Linked DNA regions of Caenorhabditis elegans. The protein of the gene in region 3 purifies or fractionates together with the protein of the main gene of each other region. This does not show direct contact. Each region holds a gene or a part of one and is shown on either strand. Other genes may lie near its edges.

Region 1 (5,142 bases), on a different chromosome or scaffold from region 3:
TATTTGTAGTCTCAAAAAACATTGTTCCCGTCAAAACAGCTATGTTTGCTCTACGCAATCTAGTTTCTCCTGGATGGACCTAATCGACGCGTTTTTCATCTCATTTGATCTACCACTCTCTTACATTATATCTCGTCTACGGTATCTCTCATTTACCGTAGTCTCTCATTTCCCATATACTCTTTTGTTGCAACTCGACACACATGACGGTATTGCGGACTCTTTTATGACGACTGTAGATCGTAATTCCTATACCGTATGGCAGATCTAATAAGATGAAGGACCAAGCACACCTGGATTGGGAGGTGTAATGAGGAATAGAAAAGCAAACTGTACAGGGGTGAGAACAAGAAAATACTTATTCAATATTTATTAGCTGATGCCGTGCATTCTGATATATTTGTAAATAAAACAGATTGCTCCCGGCGGCACTTAAATATTTTCTTTCTAACGAAAAATGCAAGATGTCAAAAGAAAAAAAGCAACTGCTCTGCTCCTGTAGGACAATTGTTGCAGGGGAGTCTCCCATCTAATCAATACACCTAACAAAAGAGTGAGTCAACTGATAAAAGGATAAACATGCAAAGATATGGTATCAGTGCTCGCAGTAGAACACTCTTTTATCTTGGAGAGATAACACGAGAAAGATCAAAACAAATTATGAACATTATCAGAGAATTCAAAGACATTGTTATCATAATTTTTATGTTTTCATAAATCTATTAAATGATCAAATGAGTAGGCGAAATTAATTTTTTTTTAACATTGTAGAGAACAAGTATTGAAAAATATTAGAGCCAAATTCAATACTGTAAAGTTTTTTTTTGGCCATGAATATCTCAAAAACAAATAAAGAAGCCTATTTTAAAACTTATGTTAAAACGTAGCCCTAATAGAATTCTGAACGAAAAACGTAACTTTTTGAGGCTAAAAAATATATTTCTAAATAGTTTGAGGGTTTGAAGAATATCTACTCTCGAAACATGATGACAGGTGGTACGCAAGACACAAGGGTCCGTCTATTCTCCCTGCGCAATACCAATTGCCTGCACAACCCTAGGACAATTGAACGGACCACCTAGAACAAGTTGCAACTTTAGAGTTGAATATCTCAAAAACTGAGCCTGAAACATAATCAAAAAGTTTTTCTAACAAATAGAGCATGTCAAATTCTTTTAGAAAACTTGGTTGTTACATTACCAAAAATTTTTTGTAGATGCTTTAGGTGTTGTCAAAGTGATCCCTATTTAGTTGAACAAGGTTCCAATGTTATTGAGGGAAATATTACAATTCGAAATGGAAGAGGAAACTATTTACAGGAAATCAAACATTATTATAGATATGAGAAAATGTTTAAATGCTAGTTGATAAGTGTTATCAATAACTGGAAATGTAGTATGTTGAAGTGAAATCAAATCAGGAAACTATAGAGAGCTTAAGTTGCTTCAAAGACACGGTATCCTTGACATTTATCACAAATTTACTGATATCAGTAAGCTTCAAATTGTTAAAAGCCTGACCGACTTTGAATATATCGATCGAGCGTATGGTGGCGACTGCCCAATGCCCGAAGCCTTGTACCTCTCTGCGCACACATACGCACTATCTTCCTCCTCTTACCATTGTCTACGTCATCGTACTGCATTTTTTCTAATTTCTAAAATATCGAAAAATGTTTGAACAATTTTTTTACTATATGATAACATCTCGTTCTGCTGTAACTCGGATTATGGAAATGCCCAACATTTGCTTTCGAACTTAGCGGTGAAACTTCAATTTCCAGTTTAATTTCACATTGGCAGAAACTTTGTTTCAAAATTGGTAAAGTATTCGTTTTATAATTTAAAGTGAAAAAATAATAGCCCTTATGAATTATTCGAATAATCATTCTATCATAGTTATAATTGATTTCAGCAAGAGAGAGCGCGAACATTCTAAATTGGGGTTAGTTTGAAGACGTTTTACGTGTTATTAAATAATTTTTCAAATGATAATAAATACTCAGAAACAAAGACTTTAATTTTATCTTTGTTTTGGTATACTTTTTAGTATAGGTTGCAGGCTCAGTTTTTGTGATATAACTCCTCAAATTCAGATATTCTTGAAGTCTTGGGCGCTTTCTTCAAATATTTCTCCCATACATTGCATGCCATTTTTAAATTTCAAATAGTTAAAGATAAGTAGTAATAATAATCTTACTCATGAAAAATTTCAAACGCTCTCTCTTTACTTACGTTCTAACTATTATTTTGAAATCAGAGAAGCCTCTGATGATTTACTTTGATTTTTTTCAAAACAATTTGAGGCAAGAATATTAAAAAAAAAATGTTCAAAATTATTGAAAATTTCCAAAGAGTATACGAATGAAAGAGGCAGAAAAGATATTGTGACTTTTCAATGCGTGTGGTCTTTCTGCCTCCGGCCAATCAATGACCTCACGGGCGGGCGCTATGCCACCGGTTTCTCGATTTTCCTCAAGTTAAAACTAACTTGTACATACCGTATTAGTCATTTCCTATATTTCTTAAGAATAAACAAAACTTGATATCTTGGCTTGTGAGGAGAATTTTACCTGAAAAAAAAACGCTCACCATCCAAGTTAATCTTTTTCTTTGGTTCTTTTGCAAACAACACATTTTGAAGACATTTGTAGACATATCCGGGTAGCTTCGGATCCCTGTCATAACCACATCGAATTGGGGTTCTAAATTATACCGATTATCGCATTGTTCGTGCTCGTAAAAGCGGTTCACCCAAATTTCATAATTTCAATGCAACATTCTTGACGGTTTCTTGTACAGCATTTCTCAGCTGCATCTTTGATAAGTTCCTTTGTTAATGTAGTTTCCGTATAGCCAAATGATCCGAGAAACACAAAAATTGGGAGATATCTCATAATGCAACGTAAGGAAAGGGAGGAGATTTACTACTGTAGGTGGACAAGATGCGCTGAGAAAATAGAAGCAGAAGGTAGGAGGAATATGAGCAAGAGACGACTGGTGGGTTCAGTCAGGAGATAGGCATCCCTGCAGTGTCATTTGGTTGAATGATGGATATAGAACCTGAAGAGACTTAGATACTCAAAGAAAGTTAGACAAAGAAGGTACATACAGTGCTCATGTATGCTCCTAAGATATAATCTACTCTCAGAAGCTGAAGAACTGGTCCGTTGTTTCTGCTTAATATATAAGAAACTAGGCAAAACTATACTAGAAACTAATTAGTTCATGTTTGAAACATATCTGCTCGTCAGTGACGTCACTCTCAACAATCTCATTAAATCCTGTAAATACAACTCCATTTTTTAAAAGATATGAAAAAATGTATAATTTAAGTGTTGATTTCACAGAATATGATTATTTCTTTGAAAATATTGAATTGATTGAGAGCACCTCTCAATCTTAAATTATGTTTTTTAGAAGAAACTTTCATAAAACCCCAGTAAATGTTTCGAAGAGCCCCTCGCCGAACAATTTCCAATTAATAGATATCTTTATTTTCGATCACTATGTTCCAATTTTGTGCCTTGTCAACTTTACTTTCATATCTATTTTCAAGGTTGAGGATTAATGCCGTAGATGATTGATACAATAGTTTTACAAAATAAAGTTTATCAAATTATACTTTATCGAGCATACTGTAACCGTTCTATATGTTCCAATTGACTTCATTTCGTTTCAAACATGGTATGTTCCACCTTTGACGGTAATTGATATGATAAGGATTGCCAAATTTGCGAATATCCTGCATAACAATTTGTTAATTGTCAGATTGAACTACCAAAATACTCATGAGACAAGAGATCAAAAGAGCAAGATTGTAGTAATGATAGAACGAATAACAAAATAATCTTCTTCAGTTTTAATGTTCCTTTAAGGTTCAGATTGAATACTCTTTAGTAACTCTTTAGAGTAATATCTCTTAATAACTCTTAGAACTCTTTAGAATAACTCTTTAAAGTATTGTTCTATATCATTTTAAGAAATGAGTTGTATTCTATGGCAGAAACGTACCGAATCGTGAATTGGTTCACTTTACTTTTTTAGGTCTATCTAAGATTATCAATTTACTTAAATTTGACTATTTATTCGTCTATACTTTTCAGCTGAAAGTTTCAGATCAGAAACTGATTGAACATGCAAAGATCTGTCAAAGAAAACAATGTATTAAATTAATTTACAGTTTCAAAACATATTTTTATCAAATTGATATTTCATTTTTTAGTCAAATACAATTCCTTTATCTTACTTCGTTGTCTTCCTATCTTCTCACAACTTACCTCATTCTAGACAACACTCGATATCCCGAAGGGCCATTATATTGCCTGTCTCACAGTAACTGAGTGTCTGCAATTGTGAGCAAATGCTATTGCATGTGCGTGATTCACTAAAATAGCATAGGAGATTGAGTGACTTAGAGATCGAATGCGCGGGAAAGAAGATCAAACGAGTAGGCGGTGTGGACAGATGACGTGGGTCTACAAGTGTAGCTACAACCGAGCACAATAAAGGCAATTCAGGGAAAATAAGGATATATAATGGTGTTGAGCTCCGTTGATGCAAATATATATTGCTACATTGAATTTTATTTTCCTGGCCCAAAAATAACTATCTGTTCATCAATATAATTAAGAATTGGAATCAAAAATTACTTGGAAAAAATATATTTAGTGTTTGAAATTTCACGATGACTATGTAGTAATGAAAATGAGAAACTTGTTAATTTTTCAGATACAATGGAAAATAATAGTAAGAAAAAATATTGCAACTGTGAATTAGATACATTCAACATATTTTTTAATCAAATTTATTACGAATTTGCGAACTAGAAATTCTCACGTTTCAAAAATTTTCAATAGAGTAATCTCAAAGAGTCATGCGCCTTTAAAACCAAGTAATACAAGCAAACTCATTTCTCTGAATGTTTTGCCATTTTGATTTGATTTTTTTAAATGTTGTAATTTCTTGATATCCAATATTTCAATTCAAATATTCAACTGCAAGGTTTTCATTTCTAGAAATATCTATTCAAATTATGTCTCCATCAGTACCTGAAAGTTCAAATCCGATGCCAATCGTAATTTCAATACACTGTTTAACGTTTCAAACTGAACCGAGACATCTACCGTAATCCGTAAACCAT
Region 2 (5,142 bases), on a different chromosome or scaffold from region 3:
GCTGGGAAATATCCAAAACATGTAGAAAAGGATCGATGAAACGAACAAAAAAATACTTTATAAAACTTATCGATTCAAAAAATCTAAATGTGACAACTGCGAACCCTGTCTGGTGATGAATGCGTTCACTCAACGGGAGGTTAATCCGTCCCTATAATCATATAAACGGTGTGTATAGGGGGGTATTCTGCTACTGCTGACTGGCTGGTTCTATTCATCGTTTCACAACCAATGAGCATTAGTGACGTAATGCTACCAGTCATCCACGTAATATTTCCACAAGATGGGACCATTTGGAGGATATTACATGCTTATGATGAGTTGCACAACTATAATTACTGTACTAGAATTGAATTCCTCAAGTTTAGTTCAAGGAGACAAAATATTCGTTTATTATCCATATTGTATTTTATTTTAGTTTTTCAGTAAATGAATATATTTGGTCTAAAATTAAAAAAAAAAAAGAAGCCGCCGAAATTTTGGTATTTTTTTGTGTTATAGGTACGCCAGAGAATAAAGATCCTGATTTCAATAATTGTAACAAAATATTTGTGCAATTCAGCTATCATGTTTTATTCGTTATAAAAACTTGAGATTGTTAACGTAACTTCCCCTTTTATTCAAATTTTGCTTGAATAGTTGCTCAGTCAGCAGAGATAGTATTAGGGTACAGTAAGTATATAATTGGATTACTGTAGTTCCATTAATTGTGCAATTTAGGTGATTTGGAGAGGTTATGAATTGGAATACGTCTGGGAATAGTATCAGGGTACATTAGAAGCACTGTAGGATTACTGTATTTTCAGTGTATTACGTGAACACTGAGAATGCGCATTGAGCAACATGTTCGACGCGCAAAATATCTCGTAGCGAAAACTACAGTAATTCTCTAAATGACTACTGTTGCGCTTGTGTCGATTTACGGGCTCGATTTTAGAACATAATTTATTTTCGAATTGTGACCGAAATATTTGAATTTCATCCTATTTTTCTTTTTTCTGTCATTCCGAGTCAAAAAGTGAAAAAGAACAAAGCAAAATCAGACCATGGCTACAGTAGTAATGTAAATAATTTCTGTATTTTTCGCTACGTGATATCTGTGCGCCAGACAAGTTGCACAATACGAAATTCCAGAATTTAGTTTTTCCGTATTAAAAATTTTTGCACATAGTATAACGCCTCATGTGTTAATAAATTACCCTTAAAAATTAACATTTCTTGTCCAAATTGAGGAAAAAGATCATTTTCATACTTTCATATTGTCATTATCAACAGGTGAATATAACATAATAATTTACTCCACGACAAAAAAAATGGTGAATATGATACTATAATACGGAAAAATTGAGGAAAAGCAAAACAGTGTTCGATACGAAATAGAAGAGAAGCGAAATTAAAGGTTCGAGGGGAAGGGAACGATGAAAACGAGATTTGTGTGTAGGTTTGTGTGCAATTACGCGCAAAAATCACAAAAATAGAATAATGGTTCAACAAGAGAAGAGAAACACGTTCATACTTCTTCTCGTTACACAACACTGTTTCAGGGAATATTTGAGGGAGATGGAGGGCGGAGCAGGTCAAAAATGGAGAGAAAAACAATGAATAACTTACATATTATTCCCGTCAGGAGCGGTTCCAAATGTAATCGGATAAGAAAAAATGTCGGATTTGGAAGTTAAGAAGAAATAGACGACAAATGAATTGGGGCTTTAAATAAAAATTGGGTTGAAAAAGTAGAAGAGGGCGATGGTGATCAAATTAAAAAGCCTAAGGGATGGGAGAGGGAATTTCAAATGGAACAGAGAAGAACAAAGAGAATGAATGGGGAGAAGAAAGGAGTTGAAACGAATAACAAAAACGGATGATTCGTAGTCGTTTATTCGTCGAAGGTGGATTCAGAAAAATGATTTAAGATCTATTCTTGAGCTGGTTGCTGAGCCAATCGAGTCCTTCATAGAGACCATCTCCTGATGTCGCACATGTGGCCTGGAATTAATTTATTATTGAAAAATAGTGAATTTCTTTAGTTTTAAAATATCAGATGAGAAACTGCTGATTAAAAATATCTCACCTGAATATACCACGATCGATTTCTGAGCGAGTGGAGCCCGAGCTTGTCAGTGACCTCAGCGGCGTTCATGGCTTGTGGAAGATCTTGTTTGTTGGCGAAGACCAGAAGAACGGCATCACGAAGCTCATCCTCGGCGAGCATACGCATCAGCTCTTCACGAGCCTCTCCAACACGTTCACGATCGTTGGAATCAACAACAAAGATAAGTCCTGCAAGAAAATATAATCAATAGAGCATTTTTTTTGGACAGTCTGTGAATTCTTGCGGGTGATAAGCTGATCCGCAAACTATTCTCGTAAATCACTAACCTTGTGTGTTCTGGAAATAATGCCTCCAGAGTGGACGGATCTTGTCCTGACCTCCGACATCCCACACGGTGAATGAAATGTTCTTGTATTCGACAGTCTCCACGTTGAATCCTGAAATATGAATAAAAATTATGACTCATTGTGAACCGTTCTTTCGCAACAAAAAAACGTCCCAATGACTCACCAATAGTTGGGATAGTCGTGACAATCTCGCCCAGCTTCAACTTGTACAAAATCGTAGTCTTTCCGGCAGCATCCAATCCAACCATCAGAATACGCATCTCCCGTTTGCCGAAGAGGCCTTTAAATAAGCTGCCGAACACGTTTCCCATTCTATAAATTGATTAATAAATTAAATTATTGAATTTCAGAAGAGGAACCGATGGAAGTGAAAAGGAACGCTAATAAAATGTGAAAGCTGAATCAATAATCTTCGTGGGAAATTGCGAAAAATTCGGGAAGATTTCAAATCCAATACGTGAAAATGCCAGCAACGACAATCGGAGAAAAAAGTACGGAAGACGATTGGAAGGAGGAAGAATCGGGTAAAACGTGGCAAGGAGATGGATATCTATAACAGGCGCAAGGAGCGAGAATCCAGCAGAAATACATCGGCTACACCGTCCAACGTGTCACTAGCACAGCAGTCTCTGGCGACCAGTGGAGTGTCTCTTCCTCTCTCAACCTCTCGACGCTGCTTTTTGTCTTGTTCGCTGGGCGCGTCGCGTGCGTTGCGCAGCGGTCGAATAAGAGGAGATAGATGGCAATAAGTGAAGAGACCGAGACGTGAAAGTACCGCAAGAGATGAGGAGAGAGCGAAAAAGAACAAGAGACCGTCCAAATTTGTCCGCTAGTGCAGGACGGAAGGATGAAGAACACATACACACAGGAACGAGAATAGTAATGTTCGAGTTCCTTCTACTGACTCCACGTCAGCCGTACGTTGAATCTTTCAATCCTTCAGTGAAATCTTGATTGATTGATTGAATGAACCCGAAAGTTCTAAAATTTGAACTTTGAAACAAACTTTTTCGAGTGATAAGACGATAAACTGCAACATTAAGAAAGTGATGAAAAATGCTTTTTGAGAGAAGAAAAACCTATTGAACGCGAGCGCATTGTTGAGAAATTTTGAAAATCGTGACGCAATTAAAAACTCTGAAAAAAGGACACGTGTCACAAGAGTGCAGCACGAGATACTGTGACTAATAAATAGAATCAGATGAGAAAATTAATATTAAATCAAATACAAAGCGCCAAACTTTCTAAATAGATGACCCGCATTTCCGACTAAAGCAATGTGGCGCTTCTGAAGAATGTGCTGGAGAAAAATGAAAGCTTAATAGAAACCGGCCGCCGCAGACAGTATAGATCAATGCCTTTGCGCCAATCTAGGATAGTTCATCTTTCCGCCTTTCAAAATGCCGAGAATTTCTTACTTTCTGCAGTAATTATTAGGAGTCACAAACCTTGATTTTCGAGCTTTTTGCGTTCAAATTCGGAAATAAATGAAATGACGATCAAATCAAAGATAAAATGTGACGATTGCAACGTCGAAGCAAGAAAAATTGGAGGAATAAAGTTAAGAAAGAACAAAGAAAAAAAAAATTAAAATCATTTATTTTCTGGCAATTCACGGCTAAATACGACGAAAACACACCGGTTTCCGCAAAAATACCTGTGTTTTATTGAAAATTAACTCGTTTTTTACTCGTCACTCGGGAGGGGCTCTTTTTGTACTCGTTCACTTTTCAGTGGCCCGTCTTTTATTCTTTCGCTGATTTTTTTTCGAGATCACAGCCATTATGTATTCTTTTACTTTATTTTTCTCATTTAGTGGAGTTATTGCTCTCTTTTGCTCTTTTTTGCTGGCTTTTTCATCAATGAGATATATCGATAGAAATAATGCAAACAACAAAAATGAACGAAAAAATAATGGGAACTTGTCAAGGAATCAGGTAAAAATCAATAATCATTGCGATTCTGAACAGATCACATGACAAGTTCTTAGCCAAGAACAATAAAAAATGAAGATGAAAAAGTATTGCCAAATGGGCAGTTAAACTGAAGACAATTAAAGAATGATAAGAGAGGAAATGTGATAAATTATAATGGATATACAATAGAAAAAATCGAAACAGTTTCTGATAGGCAACAATAATAAACGGGAAGAAAAATTGAGGTAAATCTGAGGTTAAATAGGCTAACCAGCCAGATAACTAGAAAAGTAACCATTTGGAAACAACGAGTAAGATCACCAAGACAATATTTTGAGATCAAAGTTCTAATATAACTAGGACTAATCATTTAGCAGGTCATCTTCTTCGTCAGACTGAAATCTTTTTTTAAATTTAATTTTCAAGTGAAAACCAAGTTACCTCAAGATTGCTCGGAATTGCAGCGAGCAACTGGTCGGCAGACATGTTCGTATCAGTTGAAGGGATCTCCTCGATTCGCTCCGTCTTCAATTCCATCTCGAGGTCCACACCATTCAGAACTTTGCCATCCGCCATTGCCTAAAAATTAACATCTTATTTAAAATCGAGTCCCGTTTAAACTGAAAACTCACTTTCAACGCATCACCTGTTTTTCTAAACGGAAAAACGGCTGTTATGAGACCATCGTCGTCGGCTTTAACACTGTGATCAAAAACCTCACCGAACTTCTCCATATGTGCCATCAAATCAGTGACCAATTCATCCTGGAAATAATGTGTTTTTAAAATCTACAATTTAAAGAAAACTCACTGTTACACCTCGAACG
Region 3 (5,142 bases):
TTGTGCACTTCTACATGTTTCTGCATGTTGCTTGAGTAATTGGAGTAGGTATCCCACCAATTACTAACCGCCATATTCCAATATAAAAACCACCCGATTCTTCGCAGCTGACTGTGTATGAATCAGTGCCTCCGTTGCTTCCTTGCATTTCGGTTCCTGCTACAAAATAAGCAAATGTTCCAGTTGGGCATTGTAATGTCGTTCTAAAATATAAAGCAGTGTTCACTAGGGCATTGTGAAACATTTATGATAACTCACTCGCAACTAATAAGTCCTGCACCATCATCTACAAGTGAATAAGTAACGGGAATATCATCTCCAATAACACACCAATCTGTGGGACTTGGCATTCCAACTCCCATGCATCCAGTATTGTAAATTGGAGCACACATTGTGCAGGCTAGAAAGTGATTTAGGGTAGTTTAATTATACTCACAGTGATCTCACATCATCAATTATCATACACTCCAACAAATTTCGAATTTTTAAAATTTAGAAGCTTTTCATGAAACGCTTACGGTTCGGAGCTAATGTTAGAGTTGTTGTAGTTGCTTCCGTCGTTGTAGTTGTAGTAGTTGTGGTGGTTGTAGAAGATGTCGTTGTAGTAGTGCTGACTGGGTCAATAGCTGAAATTAAAGCAAGTTGTGCCACAAATTTTTTACTATGCAACATTCTTTCTAGGCATTCCAGTGTTCTTATATAAAAGGTTTCTAAATAATTTTCTCAATAACTTTACGATACAAGATTCAAAAAAATATTTAGCTAATACATTTATTTTCCATCAATTAAAAAATACTGCGAAGAACTTACGTTCAACTTCTTGAGTTGGGATACATGTAATAGCGACTTTAACAATAGAGAATAAAAGGAAGGCGATCATGTTGTCCCTGTAATGTCCTCAGACTACAATTCATTTTATATCGGTCTAGTGTTATGCAACATCGCTTCAATATCCTGTTTCAATGTGCGAATGATACCGATTTCTGTATTCGTGGATGATCTCAAATCGTAGAAGGTATGGATTTGGGTTTATTACGGGTTTCCTACATACCCAAAGATCAAATCAGACTTTTTTAAATCGAATTACGCCACTAGGTACTCCATGGGTTGCCTCTGGAAAACAAAATATCTAACAATGACTATCACTTTATTAGGATCTGTAGTATGGCCACAACCAACATGTTAAGGTCTTACCTAGGTGTATGTGTTCAATATAAATTCTGAACTGATAAACGAACAGCTGTTTACATGTTTCTTTGCCCACGTTTTTTGTTTCCACCAACCAACTTTTCATCTTCTTCTTATCATCTTCGCGTTTCATATCATACTCAATGCAAGGCATTTTTCCGTTTTCCTCTTCAAAATTCTAAAAAAATCAACATGGCATTGTTTTTCCCGCACGAATTAAGGCCTGCCACTTATTTAGTTGTAGCCAGTAATTTTCGTTTAAAATCATTTATTTCTCTGCATCAAATATCACCACATTCACACGAAGAACAATCAATATAATGTGGTTTTACAATGGTTCTGGCTCATGTAAACAAGCGCCTCAGAGATTAAAAGAACGGGCGCCGGAGAGATGGCGCAGAGAAGTAAAGTAAAAATGCATGTGGAGAGACATAACTGGTGTAGGAGAGGCACAAGACAAAGATAGAGTGCGCGAATGACCCCGTCTCCGCTATTAGTTGCTTCCGCGTGGGATTTTCTCACATTATATGAAAGATTTTTGCCGTTTATCTTTTTTTATCATTTGAATCGTCAAGAATAAAAACCACACAAAAAACCTCTTGTATCAGGTTTTTTGAAAAATTGTGAATTTCGATTTAAATTTTCTGAAGTCCCCGAAATGGGAGAAAACTGCAAAGAACAATTTTAAAAATCAATTTCGAGGAAATTTCGTGGTATTTTTCTCGAAAAAAAATCGACTTTATTCTTAAATATGATTTATTGCAATTTTGATGTCTTTTTTATTGCATTTTTTGCTTTTTTTCAAAATTGAAACAACAACGAATAAATTCCATCGAAAACACATTTTTGTTTCTCTACAAAAGGCGCCGATGGTCTCGCAACGAACCAGAAAAATTTTTTGGCAATGTGCATGCGCCTTTAAAATAGTACGGTAGACTACTTTTTGGAATCTTTCGAAAAAATTTAATTGTTTATTTTATTTTGTTTCAAGGAGTGTTTTTCTTTCACATTTTCAAACATATTACTGATAAAAATATAAAACTACAAAAATTGAACCTTTTTCAAGATGAATCACAGTATTTTCTTCATTTCCTATTACCAATTTGCCATTTCACAGCCAACTTTCTCTTTTTTTCCACACTTCTACAGTTTGTTCAGTGATTCATCACATTTTTCATGTTTCGCACTTGTAAAGATTACGAAACCAAGAAATATTAACTCTGAGAAACTTGCTTTTTATTCTTTCAGGGAGAAAACCCGCACTCCGGTCTGATTTTGACCATTCAAAGTCAAGACAGAAATATGGAGAGCGAAGATGAAGAGTCGCGGAGGCCTCAGACAACATCAAGTGGTCATCTGGAACCGAAAGATACAACTGAAAATAATTCAGGTTAGTTTTTCCGTGAAAATCAGAAATCACAAGGAATTCATAAATACATTTTGCACTTTTCCTTCTCTTTTCAAAAAGTTTCTTCTTGAACACACCAAAGTCAACAACATTTTCCAATTTCTTTTTCATTTTCAGTCGACTCATCTGTAATGCATGACCGTGGTATACCAGGACTCCTGCCAGCAACAAAAGCTTCAGATAAACAAAAGAAAGCTGTAATTCGGTTCCGAGAACACGAGGGAAGAGCAGACAGTCCGCCAAGCAACCTTAATGTCCGACGAGACAGCAAAACAGTTCACATTGATGAGGTAAGTGCAACTTTTCTTTTTTAACTCTAGATATTTATCTTTCAGGTATCCTCTCCACAGTCCTTGGATTATGGTGATAGTGATGATAGTTCTGATGACGATGAGATCCAATATTGTGACTGTGTTGCTGCTGCTTTACAGCAATCTCTTCCCGGAACACCTGGAAGAAAAGGTATTATTACTTTAAAAATTACTCATATTAAACGTGTTTGGTTAAGGAATCATTCCCTACATGTCAATTTATGATACTCAACAGCAAGCTCGTCGTCGAGGATATTGGATACCAGGAGTTCCGGTTAACGCGAAAATTGTAAAAGTCGAGAGAAATACGGATCGGGGAATTCACTTTATTAATACACTTCTGTGAGTTAGAGAATTTTGAAGTAAAATTGAAAAATCAACATTTTTCAGCTACACAATCGAGCTGGAACATGGACAATTTCGTTGGAGCGTCATCAGAAACTACAAAGATTTCACACTTCTCAACAATCGTCTCATGGCACATCGTGCTCGTGAACAATTTATGGCACCAATTAAAAGGTATTAATTGCCACTTTTTATTTTAATTTTCTCATTTTACACCTTTTATAATAAGTTTGAAGCTTTTTTTCTTGCAATTCACCCCATCGCTAACCTAAGACTAACCCCCATTCAGATTTCGTGGTAAAGTTCAGGATGAGTAAGTTTCTACACGCTGTTGTGCTTGTTTTGTTTATTTTTAGACTTGAATGGCTTGTTTTTGGACTGTTTTGTATGAAATTATAACTGCAAATTAATGTATTTTGCTATTTTTATTTATTTTCAGAACACAAGAGCGATTCGATAATTATTTGGAGCATATGGGTATTGATATTATTTCTGATCACAAGCCAGAGTGTCCATACTCAAATCAAAGCTCTAAACGGAAGAGACATCCGAAGGTATCTTTAAGAGTTTTTTATCTTATAAAGAAGTTTAAATATTTACAGCTGCAAGTTCTGAAGCGTGATTCGGATGGAATTGAAGAATCAAAGAATACATCTGCTCCACTAGCATCAGTTGAATCACCTGGAGAAGTAGAAGATGCATTCAAAAAGGAAGTTCACATGCAGCAAGCTGTACAATCTGGAATTCTCGATGAAACTGTCAATGAGGCTAATACATCCGAAGGAACACCTAAACGGCAGCGACGTCAACAGAGAAAGAAGGATCGGCACACTCTTCCACGTTTCCCAATGATGCCTGATTCGATGGTAACAAATTTGGAGCATCGTAAAGAGCTTCTCGAGAACTGGCTCCAAATGGTTCTTCACATTCCGATCAACAGAAATCATCACGAAACTGCTGAATTTTTGGAGGTTTCGAGATATTCATTTGTCAATGAGCTTGGTGGAAAACATACGGAAGGATTTGTCAAGAAACGTCCTGGAGGTTCGAGAGTGTTCCTTGGATGGAAGCAATGTTGTGTACGATATCTTCTACCGTGGAGTAAAAGGTTATTAAAAGTTTTGGTCAAAATTTTTCGATTTTTTCAGTAATAATCCAAAAATTCGAAAAATCTGAAAATCGACACCTTTTATCGTTTTTATCGAAATAAAATTAATAAAAACAATTTCAGATGGCTTATGGTTCGTGATTCATTTGTTGCATATATGGATCATCGAACTGAGCAGATTCGGATGGTATTGCTAATGGATCGTGATTTCAAAGTTGCAGCTGGAGGAAAAGAAACAGAAGGAATTCCGACAGGACTCATTATTACAAATAGTCAACAGTGAGATTATAATTCAGGAAAAATCAATAAAATCAAAATATAATTTTTCAGTGAGCTTCATCTAAAATGCCGCCGTCTTCAGGACACTGCCACGTGGAAATACATTATTGAGCAGGCTATGGGTGGAATCGGAAATACTTGGCTTCAACCACACAGATTCAGTTCCTCATTTCCAGTACGTGAGAACTGCCACGCGAAATGGTTTGTTGATGCGAAAACATACATGGAATATGCGGCTGATATGATGGAACTGGCTCGGGAAGAAATTTACATTACCGATTGGTGGCTCAGTCCAGAGATTTACATGAAACGGCCAGCTCTCGAAGGAAACTATTGGCGTTTGGATGAAATTTTGAAGAGAAAAGCTGAGCAAGGTGTGAAGATTTTCATATTGTTGTATAAAGAAATGGAAATGGCACTTGGTCTCAATAGTATTTACTCAAAACGGACACTTCAAGGACTTCATGAAAATATTAAAGTAATGAGGCATCCTGATCATTATC

Evidence for each region.
Region 1: the proteins of pld-1 (region 3) and her-1 fractionate together in Caenorhabditis elegans (co-fractionation; one large-scale study listed by BioGRID). This does not show direct contact.
Region 2: the proteins of pld-1 (region 3) and arf-1 fractionate together in Caenorhabditis elegans (co-fractionation; one large-scale study listed by BioGRID). This does not show direct contact.

Annotation. Positions count from the first base shown.
Region 1 is NC_003283.11:9,694,883-9,700,024, reverse strand, and holds the start of her-1 (Protein her-1), read right to left. Parts: upstream 3,011-5,142; 5' UTR 2,897-3,010; coding exon 2,754-2,896; intron 2,705-2,753; coding exon 2,592-2,704; intron 1-2,591. UniProt on the Caenorhabditis elegans protein: Dictates male development. Probably plays a direct role in cell signaling during C.elegans sex determination. Inhibits the function of tra-2a.
Region 2 is NC_003281.10:5,713,685-5,718,826, reverse strand, and holds arf-1 (ADP-ribosylation factor 1-like 2), read right to left. Parts: upstream 2,713-5,142; 5' UTR 2,712-2,712; coding exon 2,564-2,711; intron 2,491-2,563; coding exon 2,380-2,490; intron 2,281-2,379; coding exon 2,072-2,280; intron 1,987-2,071; coding exon 1,909-1,986; 3' UTR 1,283-1,908; downstream 1-1,282. Other genes in the region: rbm-26 (C3H1-type domain-containing protein), read right to left, coding at 4,679-4,711, 4,758-4,895, 4,949-5,080, 5,127-5,142. UniProt on the Caenorhabditis elegans protein: Small GTPase involved in protein trafficking between different compartments. Modulates vesicle budding and uncoating within the Golgi complex. In its GTP-bound form, triggers the recruitment of coatomer proteins to the Golgi membrane.
Region 3 is NC_003280.10:5,088,985-5,094,126, reverse strand, and holds the start of pld-1 (Phospholipase), read left to right. Parts: upstream 1-2,436; 5' UTR 2,437-2,490; coding exon 2,491-2,578; intron 2,579-2,713; coding exon 2,714-2,886; exon of another isoform or gene 2,887-2,931; coding exon 2,932-3,058; intron 3,059-3,104; coding exon 3,105-3,249; intron 3,250-3,297; coding exon 3,298-3,426; intron 3,427-3,691; coding exon 3,692-3,806; intron 3,807-3,854; coding exon 3,855-4,360; intron 4,361-4,483; coding exon 4,484-4,639; intron 4,640-4,690; coding exon 4,691-5,142. Other genes in the region: C04G6.2 (DUF281 domain-containing protein), read right to left, coding at 11-203, 259-400, 519-626, 811-880.